4 linked regions of the Schizosaccharomyces pombe genome follow. Changing the gene in region 1 together with any one later gene gives a genetic interaction. Each region holds a gene or a part of one and is shown on either strand. Other genes may lie near its edges.

Evidence for each region.
Region 2: mutations in mcl1 (region 1) and rad3 are lethal when combined (synthetic lethality), as found in Schizosaccharomyces pombe (3 studies listed by BioGRID, with this or other methods).
Region 3: mutations in mcl1 (region 1) and raf2 together harm fitness more than expected from each alone (negative genetic interaction), as found in Schizosaccharomyces pombe (2 studies listed by BioGRID).
Region 4: mutations in mcl1 (region 1) and mik1 impair growth when combined (synthetic growth defect), as found in Schizosaccharomyces pombe (2 studies listed by BioGRID, with this or other methods).

What each region holds. Positions count from the first base shown.
Region 1 is NC_003424.3:3,280,857-3,288,819, reverse strand, and holds mcl1 (DNA polymerase alpha accessory factor Mcl1), read left to right. Parts: upstream 1-3,067; 5' UTR 3,068-3,074; coding exon 3,075-3,266; exon of another isoform or gene 3,267-3,311; coding exon 3,312-3,463; exon of another isoform or gene 3,464-3,521; coding exon 3,522-5,625; 3' UTR 5,626-5,816; downstream 5,817-7,963. Other genes in the region: cts2 (chitinase), read left to right, coding at 1-19; DNA-directed RNA polymerase III complex subunit Rpc82, read right to left, coding at 364-2,073, 2,153-2,218; SPOM_SPAPB1E7.01C (uncharacterized protein), read left to right, coding at 6,115-6,606; SPOM_SPAC652.01 (BC10 family protein ), read right to left, coding at 7,017-7,236, 7,306-7,412. UniProt on the Schizosaccharomyces pombe protein: Has a role in regulating DNA replication complexes. Acts as a regulator of post DNA replication initiation. Associates with chromatin during G1 and S phases of mitosis. Required for the transcriptional repression of the outer repeats of the centromeric region.
Region 2 is NC_003423.3:899,771-907,648, forward strand, and holds the start of rad3 (ATR checkpoint kinase Rad3), read left to right. Parts: upstream 1-4,413; 5' UTR 4,414-4,594; coding exon 4,595-7,878. Other genes in the region: dynein-anchoring factor Num1, read left to right, coding at 1-1,211; SPOM_SPBC216.03 (uncharacterized protein), read left to right, coding at 2,172-2,915; peptide-methionine (R)-S-oxide reductase Mxr2, read right to left, coding at 3,386-3,802. UniProt on the Schizosaccharomyces pombe protein: Serine/threonine kinase which activates checkpoint signaling upon genotoxic stresses. Involved in G2 arrest following DNA damage where it phosphorylates chk1.
Region 3 is NC_003421.2:498,216-505,615, forward strand, and holds raf2 (CLRC ubiquitin ligase complex subunit Raf2), read left to right. Parts: upstream 1-2,549; 5' UTR 2,550-2,643; coding exon 2,644-4,554; 3' UTR 4,555-4,665; downstream 4,666-7,400. Other genes in the region: kcs1 (inositol polyphosphate kinase), read right to left, coding at 1-1,551; erv29 (cargo receptor protein), read right to left, coding at 5,402-6,310. UniProt on the Schizosaccharomyces pombe protein: Component of the Clr4 methyltransferase complex (ClrC) which contributes to the establishment of heterochromatin by specifically methylating histone H3 to form H3K9me.
Region 4 is NC_003423.3:218,858-226,610, forward strand, and holds mik1 (M phase inhibitor protein kinase Mik1), read left to right. Parts: upstream 1-2,440; 5' UTR 2,441-2,841; coding exon 2,842-4,050; exon of another isoform or gene 4,051-4,118; coding exon 4,119-4,655; 3' UTR 4,656-5,260; downstream 5,261-7,753. Other genes in the region: DNA replication factor A subunit Ssb1, read right to left, coding at 505-2,293, 2,363-2,403; msi2 (cleavage factor complex subunit), read left to right, coding at 5,472-5,518, 5,567-6,007, 6,080-6,120, 6,442-6,605, 6,651-7,382. UniProt on the Schizosaccharomyces pombe protein: Protein kinase that acts both on serines and on tyrosines. It acts as a negative regulator of entry into mitosis (G2 to M transition). Phosphorylates and inhibits cdc2.

The sequences.
Region 1 (7,963 bases):
AACAACCACTGCCGCTTGAAGGTAAAAAGTCTACATGCGCATTGTTAATAGCTGGTCTATATCATTGCACATATATTTGTTATCTTTGTATTTAATTTATCTCACCTTTCTTTCCGTTTGATGCTCATTCATATGATTTATTTCGTTAAATCAATTACAATATTTAGTCGTTTATTTTTAAGAACTAGCATACTTTATATTTAATGCATTATAGACAATTGAATAAAAATTTTGAAACAAGCAGGTAGAAATAATAAAGCCAACGATCTATTTAAGAAAAGTAAATTTTACATCGATGATTATTTACATAAGTAAAAATGTGTTTAGTTAGGTGAAGCAAAAGAAGTGCCGAAGAAACCATTTTTATAAATTATCCCTAAATACTAATACCATATCATCTAACCGAGAAGCTTGTAAAAGCAGTTTTTCCTCGTAACTATACAACTTTTTTAGCTCAGCTTGCTCAAACTTTTGTAGATATTGTTCCTCGTTGCCTTTAATATCTATTCGTTCTGCCTTCTCAATGAGTTGAGCTCTCTGAGCTCGTGCATCTCGTAATCGCATATATAGTCTGGCAATTACATGATAAAGTTCATCCAAAAGGAGAGAGTACGCCCGATCAGGACGGTGAAACCAAAGAAAAAAAGTCTTGGAAGGGGCCCTGTCGGAACTACGCGGAACCTCTTGTAACTCTAAGGCTCCGATTTCTGCCATAGCTTGAAGAACGGTTCGTAAATCTCTTTGACGAAGGAGAGCAATATTCGCCAACTGCTTTTCCTCAATTTTTCCCTTATCTTTTATGATACGCAGTAAACGAATAGCTCTTTCCCCAAATTTTTGTTCTATAAAATTTTCATATTCTATGGCTCGCAGCATGTCGGTTAAATGGGTAAAATTGACCGCCCATTCACCCATTCCTCGATTGCCTATTTTTGAAATAAATTTTAATGAGCAATCTGCCAAAAGCTCCAGGTGTTGAGCCAGCACCTTGCTCTTGCGATTTGCGTTTTCATCAACACTTTCTTCATAATTATCTTCCTCAGCAAGTTCATCTAGTTCATTCAACTTTTCCATGACACGCAATTCGTTAGAGGCAGAATTTACGCTATACTGTTTATCGACAATCGAACTCTCAACGTCGATATCATTCGGAAAGTTTCTCGTAAGCTCCATTGTCGTGAGTGTAAAGACCGGAGATTGATTGGAAATACTAAATAATCTGGGTTCCAACATAGAAAGAACGTGAGAATAGACAAGCGAAGTTGATTTACCAATTCTTCTTTCCACCCAATGGGTAAGCCTGGCATTTTTTGAGAGGACAGAAAGTTTTCCTGAATTTATGCGAACATGCGCGGATAGATCAGGTACAAGGATGCTATTATCATCGTCTAATATATTATTCAAATCCGTTGATACAGACGGAGCAGAGCCAACAGCACGTTTCCTTCTTTTTGTTGGATGTGGTATTGATTCCTTTGGCTTCCTGGTAAGTCCTTGTAGTTCTGACATATCTGCTGCACGAAGCTCTAACATTTCCAAGGCGACAGAATCATCAACCTCTCTATTTTTTTTTATTTCAGACACGTTTTCTGACTTTCTGCGATCTAAGTGCTTGATCCGGAGTTGCATTTCCTGATCTCCTACTGGTATTAAATGTCTCGGTTGCACTACTAGCAAAAACTTTTGGTAAATCAATTCCGTTAGATTTTTCTGCATCATACGGCTTTCTTCATCACTCCCATCAACCTTTTTATCGAAAGCATTGAATACTTCGAGTACACGTGCACGTCCTTGGGTACTAAGATATTTTACCACAGAGGCAGCCTCCTGGTTTAATTTTTGAGATATCAAATATACATCTTTACCTTTGCGAAGAATGTTATAAATTTCCTTCCATTGGGTCTCATAATATGTGACTTCACGTACATTTTCAATGACCGTAACGTACAAAACCATATGATGCTGCATTAAACTGACAAGTGCTTGTCGAATTTTTGGTCCTGGCAACGAAGTCCGTTTTTGTAGCATGGGAATCGTTAAACGACCATGCCTCAAAAGTGCACTAGCTACTGCCTAAATTGACAATAAATTGGTTAATACAAAAGACTTTGCAACCTCAACTTCAGATTTAGAAATACAATTGAATCCTTACCGAGCAACAATCACCGAAAAATTCCTCTACGAGAATCTCACACAGTTCTACAGCATACTGTGACATGATCAAGCAGATTACCAATCTTGCTTGGAATGGTAAATTGTTTGGCAGACGTAACTACAAAAAAGCAAAGATTTCACAACCTAGAGTATGCCAATAGCCTGTATTTTGTGCGTCGTTAAAGCAGCGTTAACATTTATAGTGTATCACTCTAATACAGAATAAAACTTTAACGATGTGCAAAAACGATTTTCATATTACTTTTTGAAAAAATACATACATATAATTACTGCGAGTATTAAATGAATGATCGAAATCTAATTGTATGATTAATTTATTTAACTTCTTTTTAATTTTCCTGTGAGAGGCTCCACTAGGTTTCTCAATTCCATTTCCATGTCGTTGATTTTTTGTGGTTTAATCAAGCATGACTTATCTGCAGATTCTGTTTTATAGCTTGTCATGGTAAGCATTAATTAAAATACTAAAAGACAATAGCTAATTGCATATTTTTCCTCCATTTAGAATATTGCTGTGCGGCTGTTTGAACATTTATAGCAGACATTTCAAAACTTTTTAACAGAACTGCTCTAATGGAACATCAAATACAACTTCAGAGTAATTAAAAAAAGCTCTGAAATGATTAAAGTTAAATTATTCCTATAGTCTCACATATAAGTTACTTTAGTATTAATTTCTAATTGTTAGCAGATGATTAAAAGCATGGATTGCATATTTTCAATCGTACTTGCATATGAAAATAAATTGTAGACAAACATTTGCAATTTCTCAATAGTGCTTTCGTGGTAGATTTTTTATTTAAATGTTTGTTTACATTAAATAGCGTAACTAGCTAACGAAAGTATCGCTATTGCCATACTAGTCCCAATCTCATATACAAACTCTTCCTCTAGCTATTATGGCAGGGAATAGGCTAGTTCCTAGATATGCCCATACAGATGGACTGACGCGTCTAGCGTATACTCGTGATGGGAAATTTCTTCTTACGGTCGGTTCTAATCAAGTAATCCGAAAATTTCAGGTTGGTTCTGATGAGGAACCCGACTCCATTGATAATCATCAAGATCCTATAACAGGAATTGCAGTTGCTGTAAGTGGTCCTCAAAAAAGTTTGGAGCTAATGACTTTTATATAGGAAAATTATTTTTGTACTTGTTCAGAAGATGCAACTGTCTGCGTATATCCCATCGATTCTCCTACCGAGCATACATTGCTGGCGCGTACTACTCTTCCTATTCGCGATGTGGCATATTCAGTAGATGGAAATTGGATTGCCATAGCTAGTGAGTAAGTTTTTTTTAGTGTATAATGCTCTACTTGGTCGTTTTCAGCCTAACAAATATAGTGAAACAGCAGTGAAAGTGGTTTCGTCCACTGATTCTTCACAAATTTTCTCTCTTCGTCCAGCTAAGGCTTCGAATAAACATGTAACTTATAGCCCGAACGGAAATTTTTTAGCAGTTTCCAGTTGCAATGGAATTTTGTATTTTTATGACACCCAAACTCGTGAACTCATCAAGTTCTTAACAAACACTATTGCCTCTTTAGAGGCAGAATCAGAAATTTGCTCAAAGGCGGCTTGGCATCCTAAAAACGGGACATTTGCAGTTGCGAGTACCGACCATTTTGTATCAGTTATTTCCCCTGATGACTGGCTTCCATTGTACAAACTTCTTCCAAAAGAGAATCATTCTGGTGTAACAGATATCTCCTGGTCCAGTAATGGAATGTACATAGCTGCTTCATTTAAAAAAGGAGGCATTTTAATTTGGGATACACAAAGTCATGAAGTAGTCGTTGAGCTCCCCTATAGTACAGTGGTGGCACTCGCCTGGCAGCCATTTGAAAACGTGTTATCATTTACTACAAATCAGGGAATTTTGTATTCATGTCCGGATGTCATTCCTAAATCAATATTGAAGGAAGAAAATGATCCTACGAAGCCTTTGACTTCGTCAAAAAGTAAAAACCGTACTTCCAAAGAGCTTGATGATCTTTTTGGTTCTGACGATGAGCAAAGTCAGAACGTCAATGATTTGGATGGGAACTCTGCCAACGAGGAAAATGAGTTTATCAATCATGATGGATTGGATTCATCTTTGGACCTAGATGGTGATAGTTATATGGTTGATGAAAACGACTTAAACCTTGCAAAGAAAAGAAAGCAGAAGGCGTTGATCGACAGAACTACAACAATAGAGAATGGTTCTAGTAAAAGACGTTTACTGCAAGCCTCAATACATAAACCCGTTCATACTGGAAGTACACCATGGCAGGGTAATAGAAGATATCTATGTTTGAACTTGGTAGGGTTTATCTGGACTGTACAGCAAGATGCAGAACACAACACTATAACGGTTGAATTTCATGATGAAACTACTCATAGAAAATATCACTTTGTTGATGACCAAAAATTTGAAATGGCATGCTTAGATCATGAAGGTGCTTTGTATGCTTCGCCTGCAACGGAAAGTTCACCTGGTGTTATTTATTATAAAGCACATGTTGATTGGTCGCGTAAATCTGAATGGGCAATGGCTTTACCCATGGAGAATGAAAGTCCTGTGACAATTTCATTAAGCTCAAGCGTTGTACTGGTATGTACGAGTGCTGGATATGTTCGCGTATTCTCAAGACAAGGCTTTCCAATTAGCATTCACAGGAGTAAACACTTGCCATTTGTAGCTTGTTCATCTTTTCAGGATACGATTATAACCATCGCCAACGATGGTTTGAGCTCTGATGGAAATTCTCGTCTTGTTTATTCCATTGAAGACATTTCTCGTGATGAAATGTTGCAAACTGGTGATGGGGTTGCATTACCACCCCAAGGAACGTTAGAGAGTGTTTTCTTTTCGGATGTTGGAGATCCTTACATCTACGATTCAACTGGGGTATTGTTGGTATTAATGCATTGGCGCATACCAGGACAAGCCAAGTGGATCCCTGTTTTAGATACAAATGAATTGGAGCGTCGCAAATCACGGCAAGAGTCTTATTGGCCTGTAACTGTTGCCGATAATCAGTTTCACTGTATATTGCTAAAAGGAGCCTCTCGATATCCCTATTTCCCTCGTCCGATGTTTACAGAATTTGACTTTCGTATTCCTTGTAATACGAACAATCCGGATGCTTCTACATCTGTTCCTGTTTTAGAAGAACTACAACTCCGTAATAAACTATTTTTGACTTTATTGGAAGATAGCATAGGAGATGGCGATGTTACGGAGGACGAAAAAATAAGCATTGCTAGACTAGAAGCTAACATTGACAAAGCCTTGTTGCAACTTATTCAAAAGGCTTGTCTCGAGGAAAGAATCGAACGTGTCTATGAATTGACAAAAACTTTGAGAAGGACAACAAGTATTGCTGCTGCTCAAAAGATTGCGCTCCACCATTCCCTTACAAATGTTGCTGAAAAAATTGGTAATCTACTATCTAACGTCTAAACCCTCACGTCTTAATTTTTATGTAACATTATTTTTTGCATATTAGTAGCTTGAGCTAATCAAAAGGGGTTTGAAGCAAAGCTATGCAGAAGTTTTGTCACGATCTTGCTCCTTTCTAAATTCATTTATATAAGCATCTAGCACTTTGATTTTTTTCTCATTTTTGTATTTAATAAACACATTTCATTTTGTTTACCATATAACCTCTATGTTTATATGTCAGTATATTCGGCATATATTTCGAGTCTATTTAGAAATTGCACAGGGGTACAAAAAATTGATTCATAAGAAAAGGTGGAAACATTTTTTAAAATGACAAAGAGTCACAAAGGAATTTGTATTCTTTTCCTTTCTGAAATGAAATAAAATCTAATGTAGAAACTGCAAAGCTCAGTGCCTTAGGGTGCGTTACAGTTCGTAAAGTTGCAGACACTAAGTGCAGTACAACTTTGTAAAGTGCCAAGCTGCAAACGAAAACACAATTTTAGCATGGAACAAAAAGTGAGTGCGGATGTGTTATTGAATAAATATCAAACATCCATAAGCATCACAAAAAACTTAATCAATTCGTGGTTGGGAAACGAAAATACATCTGTCAGTAGCGATGAAAAAAATGACGATCCACCGTTACAAGCTAGGCCGCCACGGTTAGGGTTGGGTGCTAGTAGAAAAGACCAGTCAGAAAACAGCTGGGTTACTTCCAAAAATGAGAAATTGAAAAGCCTGCCACCGGCATTAAAGAAGAAGATTGAAAGACAGTTGCAGAAGAAGAAGGAAGCTGAAAAAATTGAAGGCGGCAAAAACCACGACAATTTAAAGCGAAAATTGAATAAAGTAGGCGATGAATTGAACGAGCAACAGTCTGATACTGATGATGATGATGATGATTCAAAGGCTCGCATTACTAGCCGATCGAAAAGAGCTAACGCCCAAAGTTCTGGCTTTGATATTTATAAAAAACTTGGGAAGAAAAAAAGGTGAACTTGAAAGAAAAGACATACATAAAATATTTGCATAAAAGGTTTGACTTCTGATTCATTTTGATCAAGAGATTAGCCTCAAGGAAATGGACATCCTATGAACCCATAAATAAGCAGCACTGGAGTATTTATGGCATTGCTATTGGTTGACGTGCATGAAGTTGAATCGAAATTTATTTTTCTGTGAAAAAATTTACGATCCTTAATCACATTTAGTGTTTACATTGGATGGGTCTTAATTTGGGTGCCGTGTTTACCTCTTTTCAATCAGGAGGGTTTTTTTTTTGTTTAGTCGGTATGTTAAGTAAATAAATTTTAGATAGGGACAGTTGGTAATATGAAAAGGCACACCTATTTTTTATGAATCAAGCTCAAGCGATTCAATTTTGTAGTGAAAGACTGACTGCACTATTATAATTTAATAGTGGCATCTAACCAAGGAATGTGAATGCTTTCCTTACCCGCTAGCCACCGAATCCATGAAAGTCGAACCAACCTGTAGCCGGCTTCTTTTAATTCCGTAGGGAATGCTTTTGTGTCGAAAATATTTCGATTGAATGAAAAAAAGGTTGAATCACTCCACAGAGTGCGTGTATTAATCAACAATCCCAGTATAATCATGCAATATGGACTGAAGCCTGTTAGTCAAAATCTCGTATGGAATGGACGGCTTGTTTATCAAACTGGTTGTTGAACTTACCATGGATATTTCCGAGCAATCATGGACAGCATAAAGATCGGATAGAAGAAGTATGGAGCAGCATTAGCTACTAAAAGCATTGGAATAAAATATCGTAAACATAGCATTTTGTACCAAGTTTGGTAAAGCAACAAGTTTTTGAAGGATGTAATTTTACACTATTAACGCCATTTGGTCACGTAACAATCCATTAAGACGATATGCCGTTTTGTGAAACCGAAGCGATAACTCGGAATTCAAAGATTTCGTAAGCGCTAAATATCGTTAATTAGATAAAAGTTGTAGATCCAGCGATCCTTTGGTATTGCAATGTTCAGTATTGTTTACAACTTCAGAAGCATATAAAAACTCTTTCGACTTAGATTACAATTAAGATTTCAAAACTTTTATAAATTACTGCAAGTTGATTGACGCACTGGTTGGGTTGACATTGATTGAGTGAATTGACAAGCTTCACCATCGATATCCGTCACACATACTTGGGTCATATAAAGTGTTTATTGCATATAGTATTTAAAAATTTCATTTAAAACTTCAACTGGTTCATCTTTTTACATACGCCTTGTATATCCATATTGTAAAGTCAGTTTACTAGTTGAATCAATAACGCATTCTAGTGCACTTAAAACACATTTGCTAAATAGAGAAAAAAGATTAA
Region 2 (7,878 bases), on another chromosome or scaffold:
TTGTATGTGGTGCAAATACAATCTCCATGCAGTGGAATCTGCAAAAGAATATGGAATTTATCAGCTCTGTTTTTTCCTTAATAAAAAATGAAGTAAATGACACATCAGCTAATAGTGTCATTCTAAGGACCGATGCGCTTTCAAATGTTGCTACCACGAGGTTGAAAAGAAAATTAACTAGCGCTATTATTGACTGCTCGATTCCTCGTCGGAGGTTGCGCCACTATAGTAATCCAGAAATAGCTGAATTTAAGAATTTTAGATTATCTACGGATATTTCCCACAGTAATGTTAGGAATTCGAAAAAGCTATGTTCCAATGGATCTATGAATTGTATGAGGCAAGGCAAGGCAGTTTTTCCTCGAAAGATCCCATATCAAGAGCATGACTGGGAACAATGGGAAAAAATTGCTCAATCCTCGATGTTTAAGAATCGTTCAATTGCTTCACGTCAATCATTGGAAACTTCTGATGTTACTTTGGACATTAATATGTCTTCAAGACATTCAAACGGAACTTCCTCAATGCTTTTCAAAGACTTTACAAAACATAATAATTGGGAGGCGTCAACTTATCCGTCTGCACCTAAGAATACTCGTACTTATCCAACAGCTGAAGTTGAAAAAACTCGGCATGATTCCTCGCAATCAGCACGTCAATTGAAAGCAAGAAGTACGGCTACGACGATTTCTATTTCCTTGTCGACGGTGTCAGACGTATTCACCTTACCTCGCAATAATCTCAAAAGCAAAACAAATACGAAAAAATGCAGAGATAATTTGAATCTATCAGGTTTATCTTCTTCAACTTGTAATGCAAATTCTGTGAACAAATTGATGAAACATGTCATGATGGGAAACGAAATGATGAAGTACCCGAGAAGTGAGAGTTTCAAAATGTTTAAAAAGAGTCATTGGCGCTATTTTTGGATTAACCCGCATTGTGAAATGCTGTGCTGGTCTAAAACAAATCCATTTATTGAAAAAGGAAGGAAAAATCAAGTCAAGTCTGTGAAAATTAAGGGAATGACTATTATAAAAGCCCCAGATGCCTTAAAGAACGCCAATTTACATAATGAAGTTATTGTGATGCAGACAACTGATAAGCCCATCGTCTTAAAAGCGAAAAGCAAGAAAATTCACAATATCTGGGTTCAAGCTATCAAACAAATAAATCATAAGGCTATCTTTGATACTAAGCCCGGCATTTAAGCATGTTTCAGTCATTGCTTATAAGTTTTAAAGTAAACTGTTTCAATATTCCCTAACAACTTTTAAAGTTATACCAATTGTTTTTATTAAGCGGCATCAAATAGAAAGATATTAAACCACTGTAAACAACTAAGAATCAAATGTCTTAATCAGTTTTGTAAATGAGGTTTATACGATCAAGCTTTATTGCAATTCGACATGCACTAATGAGGATGATATACTTTCCTATTTTGTCGAAAAAATTGCTCTTTCTATACAATTCATTTTTAATCAATCAATTTATCATACGAGACATTTAAATAGCAAACAAAAGACGACTAACGTTTAAAGGTAACATCGATAATGTTAGTTTTATCAAAACAAATTATCCCGTATAAGCAAAAGAAGATTCAGACTTAACCTTGACGGAGTTTTATGTGCAAAGAATTAAACATTGCTATTACTGGTAAACATAACAAATCTGGGCGACTTTCAATTACTGAATGAATAATAAGCAACCTGTTAAATGATTTTAGTGCCCAGATGCACTTTCCGTGTATTACCCCAAGAACTTTTAGCGAAAGTTAAAAAGAGCACAATATATCTGGCTAGTTATTTTACTGCATCGTTACATCATGTTAAAACTATTAGAGCTTACCATACAAAAACTGAAAACGTCACATAATTAACTCGGTACTACTAATTAGGTAAACCGTGCTTTTGCTCATTCCCTGTGGTGTGTCTCTTCGATTCAATTTTGTAGATTGTTTTCATTTTCCTTATTCCTTTCTTTTTTTAAGAGGGGTTTGACAGATACACAGCATTTCCAATTCTAAAAATTACTCATTTTAACAATTGCCATTGCTTTTATTCAAAGGATCAGCTAATTAAGTTCCTTTTTCAATAAGGGAGAAGGATATATTGGATTCTTGATTCCCAACGGTTAAAGAAATCATCGTCAGCATTTTTATTTTGTAAGAAATGACTGTTTTTGTTGTTTTTGGAGGGCATGGAAAGGTGGCCTTGCTTTTTACTAAAATTGCTACAGAAGCTGGCCATATAGTTTACAATGTTGTACGTGATTATGTTCAGAATGAAGACATTGAAAAAGTGCATGGCAGAACTTCTGTCTGTTCACTTGAGAAGGCGACGCCTAATGATATTGCTCAGTTTTTAGCTGAAATACACCCTGATGTTGTTATATTTGCAGCCGGTGCAGGAGGTAAAGGCGGCCCTGAACGAACAAGAGCCGTCGATTATGAAGGTGCTATAAAAGTTTATGATGCTATGAGGATAGCTGGTATTCGACGCTTAATTATGATATCTGCGATAGATAATCGTGATATGAGCCAACCTCCTCCTCCTTACTATACGGCTGCTGATATAGAGCTAAGTGAGAAAATACATCAGTCAATTGGAACTTATTACCATTACAAGTACCTAGCGGATCAGGAATTAGTGCGACGCTCTAGTGATATTGATTGGACGATTTTACGTCCTTCTGGTATGACAGACGAGAAGGGTTCTGGAAAAGTTGCATTGGGTAAGATATCCATAAATTGTATGATGTCTCGTGAAAACGTCGCGCGTACTGTACTACTGTTCGCTCTTGATAATCAGTCCATCCATTTGGTGGTTGACATGACGGATGGAAATGTGCCAATATATAAAGCCATTGCTGGATTCGTCGTAAAAGGAGAATCATCCTATACTTATTCAGTATAATGTAATGACATTTTCGGATCCTTCGCGTATTATTGTAGTCCACGCATCTTTTACTCCTTTCTTAAAATCTTCTGAAAAAAGAACGAAAATTTTTCAATGACCTATGAAGCGTACGCAAATTAATAAATATTTAAGTGAGGGATACTTTAGTTATACCCTTTATAGTTGAAATAAATGGAAGATCATATCAGGTAGTGTAAACATTGTGTTATCGTTTATTAACTTTGGCATAAGCAGCTTAGTTATAACATACGGCTAGTAAATCTAATTTCTGACCTAGAGATTACTACACTCTTTGAAAACAAAATATATTAGTTTAAAATGTTAAAAGTAAATGCATTTTATTGAAGTTAACCAAAACGTGAACAAGCAACTTTAAATAAAATAATAGCCGTACATCAAGCACAAACAATTCGAACTGGTGCTAACATCTAATAAAGAAAATACAGAAATATTAAGCATAATCTAGTTCAATTGTCATTTGTTGCCTCATTATGGAATTCCAAACTCGCCGAATTTATACAATGGCGTTCGTCAGTAGGATTAGAATAACCTTCTCCTTTAAAAATATGGCCTAAATGACCACCACAGTTGGCACAAACTGCTTCTACACGATGCATTCCATAAGAGTTGTCTTCAATGCGTTTCACCTTTCCAGGTAAATTATCGAAAAACGCAGGCCATCCACAATGGCTTTCAAACTTTGTGCTAGCTTTATAAAGAAGCTCTTTACATGCAGCGCAAACAAAAACGCCCTGTTTAGGGAACTGATGAGTGAATCGTCCTGCACCTGGGTGCTCAGTACCCTTTTGTCTCATAATTCGATACTTCTCAGGACCTAGCTCCTTTTTCCATTCATCTTCGCTTTTTTCCAATGGAAATCCCATCTTTGTATTATTTTTGACGTTTTGGACAGGGTAGGAGACGTTATATGCACGTTTCAAAAGATTCGTAAACTTCGTATTTCCACAGATTGAAAAGTGTGTAGTAATCACTTTTTTCATGAAAACACAAGACGATATGTACCACAACTGGCACTACAAAAATTTTCAAGTAAGTAAACGACTTTTTGACCACTATTTATGTGAATAGGTAGGTACCAAGTAAAAACTGCTTAGTAAGTATAAAACACAGAAGAATCCGCGATCTAGTGAACCAATGCCCTGCGTATGACGCTCCACTGACGCTATAGTCAATGAGAACTAGGATGTGCGATTATAACTTATCTTTTCAATATTTTCTTATTATTTATTTAAGAAATAATTGAATTAAAACTCATTTCTTCTTTTATTAGCCGTAAAATAGCTTATTTTCTCTCCTACTACCTTTCAACAATAACTTTTTTTTTTGTTTATTGACCATTATAATCACATCAAAAGTCAAAAAATTCAATCATTATCAGAAACATCCAGCCTAATATTACTTAAAAGTTAGTTTCCTCTGAAAATTCAGTATCACAAAAGCTCGTTAATTAGCATCGCTCGATACTTAGTGCACCATGCATCTTCCTTTACCTCGTGAGTGGAAATCGATTTGATAATCGATTGCCACTTTTCGCATAATTCTATTGAGATATTTTATTACTTACAATCGTCTTTTATAAATGCTCAAGACTTTGAACGCGCGTGTTGCGTTTTAAAAAGGCCTTTTTTTGAATTGAATCAATGGTTTGATATAGTATGAGCCAACACGCAAAAAGGAAAGCTGGGTCACTCGATCTTTCACCCAGAGGCTTAGATGACAGACAGGCTTTCGGACAGCTTTTGAAAGAAGTATTAGCATTAGACAAAGAACATGAGTTAGGTAGAAGTAATTCTTTACCATCTATGACCTCCGAGCTTGTTGAAGTTTTAATTGAAGTTGGTCTTCTAGCTTTTAAACATGATGATTCAAAATCTGAATTTATCTCTCCTAAGATGCTAAAAGAAGCCCATCTCTCTCTACAAGCGTTAATGCTAATCTTAAAAAGGTCTCCGACAGTTTTGCGGGAGATTAAATCATCTGTTACTCTTTTGGATTGGATTTTACCCAGGACTATATCATTGTTTGCTGATATTCGTTTTATTAAGTTATTTGACTCATTAAAAGAGTTTCATAAGCTAATTTATCAGCTAATCAGTGAAAAGTCATTCCTATGGGACTTATATGCTTCGTTTATGCGTTATTGGAAATATTATATTACAAACGTTTCTTCTATAGTTCTCCAAATCACTAATGCTACATTCCCTTACAAGATGCCCTCACCCAATTCTCAACCATTGCAGAGTATCACCCCAAATTATCCAACCCATCGAGAGGACAAATTTGATTTACTTATCATTAATATAGAGGAGGCTTGTACATTTTTCTTTGAAAGTGCCCATTTTTTTGCACAATGCTCATATTTAAAGAAATCCAATTTTCCTAGTCCACCTCTCTTTACAGCGTGGACTTGGATCAAGCCATGTTTTTTTAATTTTGTTATTTTATTAAAACGAATCAGCATCGGAGACTCACAGCTCTTTCTACATTTGCATTCACGTATAGTCCAAACTTTATGCTGTTTTTCCTTGAATTTTATATATCATGGCCTTCCCATTTGTGAAAAATCTAAACATATTTTAATGTCCTCCATCAACTTAACATTGGGATCATTGAAGAAAACTTATACAGTTGCTAATACTGCTATATCTCTTTTTTTTCTCTCTTTATTTGTTTTACCCAAAACTGTAGCTGGTCTATTCTATCCTTTTGGGGTTTCCTTACTTTCTGACTTCAAGGTATTAGAGCAACTTGAACCAGATTCTGATCTCAAAAAGGCAATAATATTATTTAAGTGCAGATACCAAAGTTCAGAAATAGATCAAACAACTCTCCGTGCTTTTGGCGAAATTTGTACTGGTAAACTTGAAAACACGTTGTTTTCTAACTCTGAATTAAACCTTTTTCTTTTACATTATCTTTCCTTGGACAATGACTTGTCAAATATTCTTAAAGTGGATTTCCAGAATGGTCATAACATATGTACATTTGCAAAATGGTGTATAAACAACAACTTAGATGAACCGTCTAATTTAAAGCACTTTCGTGAAATGTTAGATTATTATAGCTCTCATAATGTTACAATAAGTGAGGACGACCTGAAGAACTTCTCTTTAGTTTTGTGTACTCATGTTGCAAAGGTGAATGAGAAAACAAATAGTATTTTCCGCACATATGAAGTACATGGTTGTGAAGTTTGTAACTCATTTTGTTTACTATTTGATGAGCGGTCGCTCTTTAAAATTCCTTATCACGAATTGTTTTGTGCATTGCTAAAAAATCCCGACATAATTTCCTCTTCTGTTAAACAATCATTGTTGCTTGATGGCTTTTTTCGGTGGAGCCAGCATTGCTCAAACTTTAATAAAGAATCAATGTTAAGTTTAAGAGAATTTATTATGAAAGCATTAGCCAGTACTTCAAGATGTTTACGTGTTGTTGCTGCAAAAGTTTTGCCCATTTTCATTAAGGGACCTAATAATCTTGATATAGTTGAATTTCACAAGGAAAGTAAAGCCTTGATTTTTAATACGTTGAAAATATTGGCGGTGGAAAATACAGCTATTTTAGAAACGGTCATTCTTTCCTGGATCTCCTTATCTAGAGTGGTAGAAGAAGAAGAATTACATTTTGTACTATTGGAAGTTATATCTTCTGTGATAAACAGCGGAATATTTTATCAAGGCATTGGTCTCAGCGCTCTGCAACAAATTGCCTCGACGCGTCATATATCCGTTTGGCAATTACTTTCTCCATATTGGCCAACAGTGTCCGTTGCGATTGTCCAAGGTATGGGTAAAAAACCGAACATAGCCAGTTTATTTGCTCAGCTTATGAATATTTCCGAGGGCGATTTTCTTATTCGAACACAGGCGTACACTTTACCATTCCTTGTACTTACTAAAAACAAAGCGTTAATAGTACGTATAGCTGAACTTTCACAAAGTGATGTTGCTACTTTGTGCCTTACCAATATGCATAAAATCCTTGCTTCGCTACTTACTACGGATCATCCTAATTTGGAAGAGAGTGTGATGCTTCTTCTTTCACTGGCCACTTCTGATTTTGAAAAAGTTGATTTAACGTCTTTGTTACGCTCTGATCCTATTTCTATTACTGTGGAGTTGTTACAGCTTTATCAGAATGATGTTCCTCATGAAAAAATTGAAAATGCTTTAAGAAAGGTAGCAATGATTGTCTCTCAAGTGGTTAATGACGAAGACTTGAGCAATAAGGAATTACTTTATGATTTTTTTAATAATCACATTTTGGGTATCTTAGCAGAATTTTCTAATATCCTTAACGACCTGAAAGGAAAGACTTCAATTAATGAAAAGATTAAGACAATTGTCGGCATTGAAAAAATGTTATCTTTATGTGGAGGTGCAGTCAAACTTGGATTACCACAGATACTTTCTAATTTACAAAGTGCTTTTCAAAATGAGCACTTAAGGTTTTATGCAATCAAAGCTTGGTTCAGTTTGATATTAGCAACCAAGGAGCCCGAGTATAGTTCAATTGCTGGTTTAAGTCTTGTAATTTTACCTCCTTTATTCCCTTATTTAGAACCACAAGAAGCAGAGCTAGTAATTCAAATATTTGATTTTATTTCTTCTGACACACACAAGTGCCTACAAGGATTAAAGTGGGCTATCCCCACCAGTCTGGATTCAGCGTGCTTTAGCCTTAAGGCTAAAGAAATATTCTGTTCGCTTCAAAATGAAGATTTTTACTCTGAGCTTCAAAGTATAATTAAGTGTTTAACTAACGAAAATGAGCCAGTTTGTTATTTAGGTTTACAAAAATTAGAACTTTTTTTTCAAGCCAAGGTGGACGAGTTACATGACACACTAAATTTGGACATATCCAACGAAGTTCTGGACCAATTACTAAGATGCCTTTTAGATTGTTGTGTAAAATATGCTTCAACAAATATGCAAAT
Region 3 (7,400 bases), on another chromosome or scaffold:
CGAATTATCACGAAAAACAGAAGGTCGATGGGAACTCCTTGAATGGAAACGAGTTCCAAGTCGACGTCTTGCATGCTTGGGAGCAAAAACTTCTCGTAGAACTTCCTCTCGCAGTTTTCTGTTAATTAATGTGGTTCCCCATGGAGTTTTGGGCGGTATATCAGCCACGAAAGTAGGAGATACTGGCCGTTCTCCGGCTGAAGATGATTTATGGTGTAAAGATTTGGGGCTTCCATAAGAATGAGATCTTTTGTCGGGAAGCATCCATTCAGGAAAAATATGACGGTTTTGCTCAACACTAACCTCTGGAATGTATCCATAGTCTTTTTTCTGATAACAGCTGTTAAATGTGTGTTTATGGGGGGCAGGTGTTTTAGACGATGATTCTGTATTGACATATTCCGTAGTAGAATCGTTTTCTTCTGTTTTAGTAATAGTATGAGTCACATTTAAAACACCAATATACTTTGGGATAAAGGGAAGCAATTCTGGATGGCAAGCTTCAATAGTTTCATAAAACGTATTTTCATTTCTTGTAAGTGGTTTGCAAACGGCTCTTTTAGAAAACCGGAAGAAAGCCGTATGTCCACCGACTTGATGTTTGAAGGGTTCCAATCGTACAGTAACCGGATAATCAACATTCCAATGGAAAAAAGGATGGTCTTCAGGAGGAGATGATGAGACAGATGATACAGATGATCGCGGGGTGGATGCAGGACTTTGATAAGAACGGGATACCGACCTTTCAAGCTCAAACGAAGCATCAGGTAGTAAAGGGAGGTGTTGAGATGACTTTTTAGAAGGATTATGTGGTATGTAGGTGGCTGTGGTTTTAGAACTACCACTATCTTTTCTTCGTTTAGGAGCTGAGCTCCGACCACGAGATGATCTTCGACTTAGTGATGTATCTTTTTCGGAAATAACTTCATCTAAATCATGCTGAGCACCAACACTTGGTGATCCAGATTTGGAGAGCCTTTCAGAAACAGATTCAAGAGGACTCGACACGTTGTGCAAAGCAGTATTAGTACTGTTACCGGTTTCTAAGTTATTGGAGGTAGAAGACTCAAAGAGACGTAATGACCTGCTTGCCTTTCGAGACGGATGAGCAGAATGAGCACTTGCCATATCATCAGCTTCAGAAACGGCTGAAGACTGCAGCACCGGTACTGGTGATTCAGCAACTGAATAAGAGGAACCACCTAATTGCAAGTCAGCTAGACTCTTGTGAATTGAATCACTCATATATTCAACAGGGGTGTGTGTTCTCAAAGGGGTTTGTTCTTGTGAATTACTTCTTGTTAAAATTAAGCGAGGGACATCTTCCAAGCTCGTAGTTCGAGGGTCTACAGCAGATGAATAGTTACTTAGCCTTCTAGGCGATAAACTGTCTAATGACTTAGGACCTATGGATTCAGAATGCATAGTAAAATTATTGTTATCTTCTGATTCATCGTACAAGCATTTTAACGTTTCAGGACCTCGATCATGAAAATTCACGTCTCTGCCTTTACGTGAATTCGGCAGGTAACACTTTGGTGCGTTCTGCATAAATTCATAAGTTTATCTCTATTAAATTAATATTTTTCCTTAATTCCCCTTCAATTCCTCCAATTTGTCCGATTTTTATTAGTTTACCTTTCGCAGAGACCCGCTTTGGTTCTTGGCAAGTTTCTTACTTTGCTCTAGCTTACAGTATAATGAGGCGTATAGTGAAACTACTTAAATTCATTATTGTCAGCAATACTACACTACGCTATGATACACTACGTTGCGTATCACTATATGTCATATGTTGGAATACTAGCTAAGATCCGTTTATTGATAATCACGGGTAACTATCCGTCTATATACGTAGATACCCGTTGATAACAACTATTTAGAAATATTATAAATAGCGTTACAACTGAACTGAGGAACGAGGTTCAGTTATGAGCTATATTAGTGATAGGTAACATTATAACCCAGTTAATACAATACCTATACTCAGTTGCTACTTATACAACCTGCGTATTGTAATATAATAGATCACAAGGAAAACTCACCGCAGTTCTACGTATCCTTAAATCAGATACCAAACTGCGTAGCTTACAATTATTCTACTCTAAAGATCCACATAATAATACACCGTATCTGTCATTAAATTACGCATTGTGTCAGCTATGCAATCATTAAAACACTTAATGATACTTTAGAACTGCGGTGGGTTTTCCTAATATAAAAAATAATGTTAAATAAAATTCTGTTTTCTATACAATAATAAATATATCAAAATATTAAGAGATATCGTATAGTATTATATGTGCACTAAAATAGTTTACAATCAGCTGAGGAGTACAAATCAAACTTCATCAATATTTTTCTAATTAAAGAATAAGTACTTTAGAAGCAACGTATGTTCACGGCCGAAAGAAATGTTGGTAAAACACAATTATAGGTATAGTGATTGTTAACGTATCGTAAGTATAACGCACTAGACGTTAATTATATATTTGTGCAGTACAATGGATACCCTTCTCTTAAATTTCAGAAGCAGAGATCAGAAATTTAACACCAATGTTTACCTCAAAAATATGCCGTCTATAGTAATAGGCAATATTACTTCGAAGAGTATTGTTTTTGGGGAAAAGGAAAAAGCTAGCGATGCCGCCCGTACGTGCTGAAAAAAAGCGGAAAACTGATTTGATTGAACAAGTTTGCGTTACAAATAAAGCAGGGGAATTAGTAGATTTAGAGGACGTTCTAGAATATGGCCCTTATTCATTAACAGGAATTTTATCTTCTGAAAAGGATGAGCAAGAACCATTGTTTGATGAGAGCATTGTTCTGGGATACTCGATAAAAATATCGCCTGTTTGGACATACAATCTAAAAGACGTTCCTGAGAAAGAAACTATGAGCATATGGATCGTTACACCTCAAAGAAGATACGGAATTTTGTCTCCTTCTTCTGAGTATAAAGCCATTTACGAACAGATCAGCGAGAAGAATCGATTGTTTTACCTTATTAAGACAAAATTCAAAGATGATATGATATCTGGTACGTTAGAAGATTACGATAATTATATCGAAGTTTTAAAGGAAAAGCTAGAGCTTCCTTCTTGTTTTCAAGCAATTCTCTTAGTGCAAAAACATATTCGCTTTCTGTTAACCCAAATGGTTGCGACTTCTTCATTACATGTATGGTCTGAATCACCTTTTTTTATAAGAATTCGATCTTCATACGAACATCTGATTTTACAAATTAATAAAAACATTTACAATGCTCGTCAAGAGCGAAAGAAATCAAAGTTATCGTCAAACAATCCATCGGACAATAATACTACTATGAAAAGCTCTTTAAACCAAGCTCTTACTTTAATTAATTTACCCGAGCAACCGTTTAGCATTTCCTCTCCCACAGCAACACCACAACTAGGAGTTGTAAAAAGAACTTCTCCATTACGGTTTCCTTTGAATGATATTTGGCTTTCCGGTTTAAGGATTGTTGATCCAAATATTGAATCGATATCATTATGGAAAAGAATACAAGTTTCAACCTCTCCGAAGCATCAACGTTATATTAGCCTTCAAGAAGTTTGCAGCGTTATTGCTCAACAGCTACAAATAACAAATTTGGAAGCTTTGAATAAACTTTCTTCCCACGGCGAAACCCTTTTGCAAATTATGCATACTGCTTTCACGTGGAGAGGTACTAAGCTTTTTAATGATATTAAGCACGCAATTGGTTTTAGATCTTCTGTTCAACAAGCACGATCTCAATTCCGTGGATATTGTTATGATTATTTATTCATGCATTGTAACAATGGAGAAAAAACAAGTCTACATCTCTTGAGGACTCTAATATGCATGAAACTAGATTTCTCAAATGCTCAATTGGCGGCCAAGATATTATTTCATTTCTTGTTATTTGATATTGGATCAGGCCTTTCTGGCTCAGATTATACATATGAACAATACATTAATCACTCAGCTGTCGCTTTCAGTTTTACGGAGGAAATTTTTGAAAAAAATTTTGTTACAGTTCTTCCTGACTTTGTTAAACTTTTTTCTATTTCTTTTGGTTATTGGCCTGCATTCAGCTTCTATGATGAATTATTGAAATTACTTCGCAACAAATATCCCAAAGTATATTCATCAACTCCAAATTTATGCGATCAGGTATGGCTGGATCGAACAAATTTATTCCCTTGTAATAGGTCAACGAGGTCGACTTTACCGTATAGACCTACAAAACTGCTCGATTTAGCTTCCGCATCTTCCTGCTTATCCAAAAAGGAAACAGATTTTAAACAAGACACTGGATTATATTCATATAACTTGGAGAAAGTTGAGGCTTTAAAAGTTAGTCCGGATTTACAGACTGGTATTTGGTCATGTCCAGTACAAAATTGTTTGTATTTTGCTGTTTGTGACAACCCGTATAAACCTTCTCAGGTCATTTACGATCATCTTTTAGGACATGTAGATTCCAAGTTTATATTTAAAACTCCTTCGAACAGTGTCCGATCGTTTACAAATAAACTTGAACACATAATGTACAACATAAATTAATGATAGATATGATGATTTTTACTAGTAATTAACAAAAGACACACTGCATTAAAGTTAATATATAGTATGTTTATAAAGGATTACAATTTTACATGGCTAATGTCAAATACACTTTACTTTACAAATATCATGTGTTCATAAACAATTTCAAAAACACATTTTGTAACAACAATTTGATACGCTTATAAATGTGCCTATTAAAGTGTACAAATAGCTGAATTATTTGTCAAATGTAATATAGGACGATCAAACAAAATCAAACACCAACCCTTTACAATTGTAAAGTTAATGGCCGTTCAAAATACCAGAACCCATTTTTGATAATAACTGAGACCAAGCGATAAAATAAAAACAGAGGAATGTAAACGCCAAGAACTACTAAATGTTCATGCGTAAGGAAAACGAGCAAAAAACGAGTATTTATTTTAGAAAAGAGCAATACTATTAAAAAATTGTTCCAGAAAATACGGACCATACGCGACGATTACCCATCTTTTTGGTTTTGTAAACGTAAATAGAATCATCTAATCATGAATCAGTAGGAGCAAACATGAGTATGATGAGGCTCACTTCTTTGACATAAAAAAATTAATGTGATAGGATAATATCCTAAATTCGATCCCACTCATAGATAGAAGAAAGTGTAATTTCAACTCTAATACAAGAATGGAGCCAAAGTAAACAAAGGAATGTACAAATAGGCAAGATCCTGTGAAAGAAAAGTACCTGTAAAATAAGGATTTTATGATATAAAAGGACAAGGTTGACAAATTAAATCAAATCATAAAAAAATTAAAAAATAAAACAACATTTTCATTTTTTTTTAAGAAACACGCAGTATTTTGGCTTAATAAATCTTTTTCTTTTCATCAACGGAAAACTTGCCCGGTCCAGTGTTGACGAGATATAGGAGACCACCAACAATAGACAAGGTTTGGAAAAAGTCGTAACGATAAAAGTCACGATAGGGACTTTCACGAGGAACCGACCAGAAGCTGTTGATAATGAAATTGGCAACAGATAGAATAAGAACGAGGACTGCAGCGAAGAATTTAGCCTTAAAACCAATGACCACCATGGCACAGGCTGTAACAGACAAAATATGAACTAGAATTCGAGTCCAAGAAATCCCACTTCCTTCCTTAGCCAAAAGACCCAAAAACATAAAGATCAAAAGAACACGCCCAGCTAGTTGGAAATAAGTACGTTTATTGTGTTCGGAGACGGCCGGTAAACCTGCAAATCTATTGATACGACGATGAATAAAGGTGTCACTGGCAACAAGGCATAATCCACCGATCACGCTCATGTTACGAAAGAACATTTCACCACTGGTGATGAGCCCATATGCAAACGCTTGTAAAAGTGTAACAAACAAAAGAGAGCCGATGGCATATGCCTGACGCTTTTTAAACACGACCAATGTCGAACCAACCAACATCAGTACAACACAAACAAACAGCAGCAACGGAGCAGTCCCAAAACGAAATCTGCGGTAGTCCCGCATATAAGATACTTGTTCAGGCCATTGAGTAACGATCCGAATAGCGTCTTCGAAATAAGTAGCGACAATTAGGAATCGACCCAAGAGCGGCATATACGGAGTAAATGGTGCCATGAACGTTTCAGCTTGCTCCATAAACTGACATGCTCGCTCTGAAAATGTCTTTTTTCTGATACCCACAGTAGTCCTTGTTTGATATGAATCCTGGTTCATAGAAAGCGGGATTGTCGAAAACGGCGAACGTGAAGTCATCTTTTCAGCTCGTATTAATTCGGGGTTTTTTTGGTGTCTATAAATATTTAATCCTTAAACTTCAAATATCTCTTAGAAATAACTTGATAAGGCCAACTTCCAGTTTCCTCAATTCAACCTCTTGTATGGAGAAGCGCAAGTTTGTCTCTTCCTTTGTTGCTCCTTATGGCCTGTTGGCATGCAGTCGTCATCCAGGGCAAACCAGAATTTCCTAAAAGGACAGCATTACAATTTGATGAATTTGGGATAATTTAAATAATTCTATGATCCTTATTTTTTTTATTTTTATTGAGATTCCTGAATATTCTTCAACCTCTACACTGATTTTTTATTTTAAGGCTCGCTATTAAGCGCAAATTGGTTTAGTGTAGTCTAAGAAATTATTACCTCTTGCAGTGAGTTAAAGAATGGGATATTTAGGAGAGCCAAAGACTTATGAAAGCTGCTTTGTAATGATTTTTAAAGCTTGAAAATATAGGTTTAAATTTTAGAAACTATATTTGGATGGCGTTCGGATGTAGTTTGAAAATTAACATGAGTCGTTAATTGATCACATTTATTGATGAAAAGCAAAAATAAATTAATAAAAGGCCCCATTTCCATATCACAAATGAATACTTTCAAGTTAGTGTCATAATTAAATGAATTTAGTGGAAGTTAAGTTTTATGTGTGTGATATTTACACTTGACATTACAAAAGCTATTACTTTCTTAGCAAGAGTCGTTGTAATGAACATTTGTAAAAACTTTATACAAACAAAATTTTAAAGAAGGGTATCGTATATAGGTCAAATACGTGAGTTAAGTTCAAATCTCAATATAGTCATTTGACGGCGAAAACAAACTTATTATCCGTGGAAATTTTGGTAAATCCTTTATAGCAACATCAATGTGAATATTAGCTTATTATTAAATTTATTTTATTTTTATTTTTTTCTTATTTTTTTTGGCGGGATATTGTATTATTAAATAATCATAACAATTATAAGTGCACTTTTATTTTTATTTTAAGGCATTTAGAAAAGCCGACTGAACCCGCCGGAGTAGCAATTTTCACACATAAAAAAAAAAAAGATAAAAAAATTTATGA
Region 4 (7,753 bases), on another chromosome or scaffold:
CTCAATTAAAGAATGTAACCTGCTGTTATTGGTATCTAAATCGCTTCCTTATTAAAGTTGTTTATTTATAAAGTAAATTTAAAAAAATCATGGTTCATATTCCTGTTAAAATAGGATTGCATTTTCGTAGACTCGTATTTACTTCAAAACAATCTGGTAATTTATTTCTTCAACAGTTTCAATTCTAAAACAATTGATAAGTTTACTGTATATTTTACTTCATATTAAAAGATATCATTGCATTCTTTTAGCGGTGATTTCAATCAAGCCATTATAGCGTAAATTACCCATCAAGGAACTTTAATATGTAAGCAACAGAACTAATTACTCCAAAAATTCAGATCATATATAATTACTTTAAATCTAGTTAAATGTAAGTGAAGTACCAAATCATAAGGAAAGGAGTCACTTTGTAATCAATGTATGCAAAATCATAAATCGTAGTTTTCGCGATTTAAGCCAAAAACTCAATTACTCGACCAGCGAGACGTAAAACACAATGTTTTATTGAGCAGACTCAATGAAATTTATCAATCTTTTAGACTCTTCCTTCCAGTCCATTTGATTAATTGACATCACTGTATAGCGTACTCGCATTTCACCTTTAAAATTGTCTTGCTTAGCACGACATTGAAAGATATATGGCATATAGCAAGCTTCTGCCATACAATTCATAAAGGCATTTTCGTCGTTTTCTTGTAGATCATTCAATTCGTCTGCCGTTTTATGCATGATTAATTTACCGACGTCGTCAAAGACGTTGAGCCAGAGTTGTCCCGTATGATCACCTACAGCAATAGTTATAATATAACGGTATTGAGGAGCATCATATTCTTTATTACATTTCTCACATCGCCAGGAGCCACCTTGATCAAAAACCTTTTTGTTGCAATCAGCAGCAGGGCAAGCAGGATATGACACGTTTTTCTTTCGAATGTAAACAATGGTGCCCTTTAAGCTAAAATAATCGGGTGTTTCTGACATTCCCAGATGTTCGGCTTGAACCTCAGCAATATTTTTACGTTCAGCACTCCTTCCAGTAGTAGATAAAGTAGATGAAATTACGCTATGTTTGGCAAATTCCTGCCCTCTACCCTGTCCATCATACCAACCTTTTAACAAATGAGATTCCTGGATATCTGGATCTACCGACATGGTGCTGCTAGTTAACATTGACAAAGAGCGTCCTTGAAAGTCATTAACTTTAACTCCTTTGAAAGCGAGAATACTTTCTTCAGAAACAGAGAATTCAATAGCTGTCTTTCCCCAAAGCGTAACACGCATTTCATATCCTGTTTGGTCAACGATAGTGATATCACGCTTGTCAAATCCACGAGAAGTTGCACGACTGGTAATTTGTTGAACTGGTCCAACGTTTTGGAGTACACCAATTACATCGATAACAGCATCTTTGGCAACATCGCCGACTTCTTGTAGAGAAACAAAACTAAACTTCGCAACGGGGACGGCAGTTTGATCCTCAGCTTTCCTTATTTCAGTATCACGTTCAAACATCAGCTCATACTCGTTTTGAACATTGGTATATTGTTTTTTTGCAATGTTCACACGACAACGAGATATATAATAAACCGAACCTTCCTGTAAGATATCATAAAAAGCATCAACCTGGTCATTAAAGCCTGTTGCACGAATCTCCCCACTTTCATCGAGTAAATTTACGCTAAAAAGCTTTCCTTCACCTCGTTGATTATGCCAATGTTTAACCTCAGATTTGTTAGTAACACGGGCACGAATAGTCCATTTATTCTGATATGGAGAGAGACCTTCAATTGGGTAGATTATTGTGCTAAGGCTATTCGGCGCTGCTGGCTTCTTCATCATGGGAGGTGGAGCCGGTGCTGTAGCTGCAGCATTGTTTCCATAAAATGAGTTAGTGCTTGTCGAAATACCTGTTCGTGGTGCGCTAGCATTGTTTTGCTCATTTTGCTGCTGCCGTAAAGCGTCAACTGTTTCTAAACCAGCGGGATTACCAATTTTATCCATTACGCCAAGTTCAGTTAAAACATTCAAACCAAGAACAATCAAAATTTTTCTTTCTTTCATAACGTTTACAGTGAATTGGGTAAGCTGTACGAACGCTCCTTTTTGAAGTTTATTTTCGGCAACCAAATGGTTCAGCTGGGTGCTTAACATAGATTGCGCATAATTGATTGAATCGGAAAGGACAACACGATATCTTTTAGGAGCACCAGAAGTTGGATTTGAGTTTAGCTCCTTCACGGTTAAGACTTGGAGAATTGGATTAGGAGGAAAAGACGAAGCATCGGATGTACTAAAGAAACGTGTTAACATCCCAATTTGTCGAAATCTTTTGAGTATATAATTTGGACAGTTAACTTACTTGATTATACGAAGTGCACCCACGGATAATCGCTCAGCCATGTTTGCAAATTCTTTTTTTTTTAATTAGTGGTTGGTTTAAGGCAAAAGAACGAAGCCGCGTCGCGTTATCCCAAATGAAAAACGCGAACGCGTCATGACGCGTCGTAACACATTTTAATATTACGCGTAACTTTAAGATGTGTTGTTTGTGTACGTGCATGTCAACAATGGTTGTTTACTTTCAAAGTTATCCTTTGCGCACAACACATTGCTATAGAAAAGCCCTTAAAAGCTGAAAAGAATAGTAGTGTTATTTAATTCTCTACAAAAGGAAATAAATCCTTTGTGATTTTCCTTTTGTTGGAAGAGTTGAACTACATTATCATCTGCATATTATTTATTATTTAGGAAAACCGGAGATATCAAAGTGAAAACGGGATTTTAACAGCTAATAAGCAAAAAAATATAACTTTATTTACATTCAGGTTTCAGTTAAAGATGGATTCATCAACCACCATCCCAATTACTCCAACGCGAACACCATGTTTTTTTAATATATCCTCTTCGTTTAATGAGCATTCTCCATTAAATTTCTACGATGAACCCATTTACAATTTTTCGTCTGGCCATGAAGAAAATCAGAGCCATAAGTCATCAAAACTGACATTCTTTAAACCTTCCAATACAAAAAGAAGTCCACATACCCCTATGCAAAATAATGCAAAAGCCATCAGATTATCCACTACAGTTCGCCACGGAATTTTTAAGAATTCAGATCTCGATGGGTGTAGCAAACCATTTGCATTTTCGAGCGGCTTGAAGTTATCCAAAAAAATTGTGGATGCTTCAACGCCAATTGATTTAAAACGAAAAAGGGCGGTGACTTCTTTAAGCACAGGACTGTTATCAAAACGTGAAAAGTGGTCATTATGGGAAGGGAATTTGACTAATCCAAGAAGTGAACAACCTCATACACCTTGTAAAAAGGGAACGAAAATAAAATTAAAACCACCTCAATCTCCGCTGTCACCCACTACCTCTCTTTTAGCTCGCAAATGTAAACATATCGACCTAGATACTTTTAGTCGGTTGGATCATCCAAACTCTGACAGCTCGGATGAAACGTTTGAAATGGAAGAACTTCCTTCTTTGTCTTATGGTTCAGAGGACTTGTTGGAATTTTGCGAAACGCCTTGCAAGAGTCAGCCTATTTTCCTTTCAAGTTCCCACGTTAATAACTGGGATGAGAAAGACGTACCTTCTTCATTAAGTTGGACACCTACCAGTCCAATTTTTTTAAACATCAACAGCGCAGATGATTACGAAGAAGAGGAAGATTGGACTAGTGATCTTCGAATTCGATTCCAACAAGTTAAGCCGATACACGAGAGTGATTTTTCATTTGTATATCATGTGTCTTCGATCAACCCACCTACTGAAACGGTTTACGTTGTAAAAATGTTAAAAAAAAATGCAGCCAAGTTTACAGGAAAAGAGCGTCACTTACAGGAAGTATCTATTTTGCAACGCTTGCAAGCATGTCCATTTGTAGTAAATCTAGTGAACGTTTGGAGCTACAATGATAATATATTTTTGCAATTAGATTATTGTGAAAACGGAGACCTAAGTTTATTTTTAAGCGAATTGGGATTATTGCAGGTCATGGATCCTTTTCGCGTGTGGAAAATGTTGTTTCAACTAACTCAAGTAAGTTATTACATATTTAAAAGTCGCGTTCCACAGACACGTCATTTGAATTCACTAACCGAACATAGGCATTAAATTTCATTCATCTTTTAGAATTTGTTCATTTAGACGTTAAGCCTTCCAACGTTCTTATAACTCGTGATGGTAACTTAAAGTTGGGAGACTTCGGACTAGCAACTAGTTTACCGGTCTCCTCGATGGTTGATCTCGAAGGCGACAGAGTCTATATAGCTCCCGAAATATTAGCTTCGCATAATTATGGGAAACCAGCCGATGTATATTCACTAGGCCTCAGTATGATTGAAGCCGCAACAAATGTAGTCCTGCCAGAAAATGGTGTTGAATGGCAACGACTAAGGTCTGGAGATTACTCAAATTTGCCAAATCTTAAAGACCTCCTTTTGTCGAAAGAAAAGGTTCAAATAAACAAGGTGAGGTGTGCTGAATCATTACAGTGTTTGCTTCAGCGTATGACGCATCCGTACGTGGATTGTCGACCCACAACACAAGACTTGTTAGCAATGCCGGAAATGATATTCATCTCTGAGCATTCTCAAAAAGCTGCAATTATCTACGAAGACCATAACAGTTGGTTAGAAACTTGAGGGATTCTGTGTGCGAATATTTTAGCCCCACAATGAGGGAATGAATTTTGCGTTCTTCCATGGTTCATTAATTTGTATTTTATACCAATATTTTTATATTTTTAAATTTTAATGTTTCTTTTGTTCGTCTGTTCGAGTGACCTTGTGTTTACCCCAATTCAATTGGTGCAAAAAATTACCCCGGGTCGATCTTTTTTTAATACCCCCTGGCAATCCATCTTTTTGGTCATTTTTAAAAGAACATCTTTTGACGGCTAAACGTCAATCGTCTAAGTCTTTTGATCAACTGCTGGGTATTTTACGTTTAAAAATCCACCTAATGTCGCATTTTGTGTTTTAGTGAAAAAACTTGAGCGTTTTTTTTATGCAGGGAATTGCTGATATTGTGATGGATAATTATTTTAAGCTTCCTAGTCTTTCGCAGAAGTGCTGTTTTAAGGAACTCAAAATATGGAAGTGCCTTGTCTTTGTATACGTATTCCGCCTGATCTATCGTTACAATTGCTGAATTATGAAGCCTTCCGGTATAGCTGTAAGATTATATAATTATGTAAAAATTTTCATATTTAGTTATTGAGTTACAAGCAATAATATCAACAAATCATTTATATTCAAAAGAACAGAGCAAAACTTGTAAATTTGGATCGACTCCTTTTTTTGTCTTTGTCGTTTCTTTTTCCATTATTCTTAACAGTGTTCACTGAATTGTGCAGGATTTAGCGTATTACGCTCCGCTTTGGTAGAATGTATCACGTACAACCCCATACTGTTTCCATCTTTTAACCACCATTCATATCTTATTTTAAATAATTCACGATGGGCGGCTCTGATTTTGAAGATGACGAGCTTTTTAAGGATCTATAGTAAGTTTTCGAAATGTATTTTTATAGTACTAATTATCGATTAATTAGTGGTGAGGAAAATGAAAAAAAAGTGGAGTCAGCTTCAGGAAATCAAGAAACGTCTAATGTGACGCCGACAAAAGAAAACGAGGGCTATGAAGAACTCGAAAAATCGGGAGAAGCGGGTGCTGAACGTACAAAAGAAAACCCTTTTCGAGAAGAACCCGGAGCTGATTTTGACCGTTCGGGATCGGACCAACAATACAGTGCTGAAGCGGAAGCCAATCAAGAAGACGATTTAAATGAAACGTCTCAGCAAGCGCCTGATCCTTCTTCGTATGATATTAGAGGACAAGCCTTGAGTTCCGCAACTTGGGACAATGCCGAGGACGGTGAAAATTCTAAAAATGATAACTATAATGAAAATCAGTCGGCCCTGACCGGTTCCGGTGCTATGGAATCAAATGAAGATAATGCAGAGGAAACTAGTCCCTTTAATCGAGAGGACGGGTATGTTAATTGTACTATATCCTGTAGCTTCTTAGGAAATTCCAGTAGTTCAATTCTAACCAGATATTTTAGTAAAATGTTTATTGGTGGTTTAAATTGGGAGACTACCGATGGTATGTTAATTTTCCGCCATCTTAAACTATCTTTGCATGCATAAATTTTGTCGATCAGAAATTTGTTAGCTGGAAGTGTAGTTTTTGATTTGTTTGTTTTGCCTATTGTACCTTAACATTATGTGTTTGGGACACCATCGACCAGAACGGTATACGCTTGAGGAAAAATGGTCTTGTTTTAGATATAAATTTTTTCAGTAAATTACGACGTCCATTTTCCGTTAAGCTTTATTCTTTCTGTTGTCAGGTGCTAAGTACATATATGCTATTTAGACTATTAGGAGTAAATTTATTGGTTTAATGCTAATGTTTGATTTACAGATTCCCTTCGTGATTATTTCGAGCAGTTCGGAGAGGTCCTCGATTGTACGGTTATGCGTGATAGTACTACTGGCCGTTCTAGGGGATTTGGCTTTCTAACTTTTAAAAATCCCAAGTGTGTTAATGAGGTGATGTCTAAAGAACATCATCTGGATGGTAAAATTGTATGTTAAAAAACTTTCGAATAGGAGATACTAATAAATAATCAGATCGATCCTAAACGTGCTATACCCCGTGAAGAACAGGAAAAAACTGCAAAGATGTTTGTTGGAGGAGTTCCTGGCGACTGTACAGAGGAAGAGTTTCGCAATTTTTTCAACCAATTTGGCCGCGTTCTTGATGCCACTTTGATGATGGATAAAGATACGGGACGGCCTCGTGGGTTTGGATTTGTAACCTACGAAAATGAGTCCGCCGTAGAAGCAACAATGTCTCAGCCGTATATTACTATACATGGCAAGCCTGTAGAGGTGAAGCGAGCTACACCAAAAGCTAGCCTTCGAGACAGTCATGACAGGCATCAGCATGGCTACCATGGTAATGCTAATCCTTACTATGCTCAAAACATGAACATGTATGGAGGAATGACGCCGGCTATGATGGCTCAGTATTATCGACAGATGCAGCAGTATATGGAAGCGATGCGTAATATGCCTGCTGCTGCTGGCGCAGTACCATATCCTCAACCCGTCATGCCCGCTGGTATGGCTGATTGGCAACAGCAACAGCAGCAGGGAGCGGCATATTTTGATCCTTCTAAAATGAATCAAGGTACTGGTGATGGTGTGCCCTTCAGTCCATCTATGCCTTCCGGCTCGTCTCGTGGCGGATACCATGGCCGTAATCCTGGTGGACCGAATCGACAAAGATATCGTGGTCGTCGGGATGGTCGTGGTGGTAACACTGGCGGTGGGCACAGCTTCCATCCATATCGTCGATAAAAATATGTTTTAAATTATGAAAATGGACAGTCCTTACTACCTTCAATCTTTCCATCTTTTGCTGATGTTCAGTTAGATTTTTGTTGATTCATCATCAATTTATTGGATGACTTTTAGTTGCATGTTGGATATCCAATTAGTTCTTTTGTGCTTTTGGAAGTTATATACCTTACTATCTAGTTACTACATAATTTCTTATTTAGATAGATACATGTGGCCGACGCATGTACATGCACTTACACTATGTTGGCTAAATACTTTTTCGAAGTTCACATCTGGACCATCCGTTGTGGTGCCGAATAAGATCTAGCTAATGAGCCAGCCGGGTGCAGAACCTTAGTATTCTGTATACCGTCGAAGAAAGTTTTTTT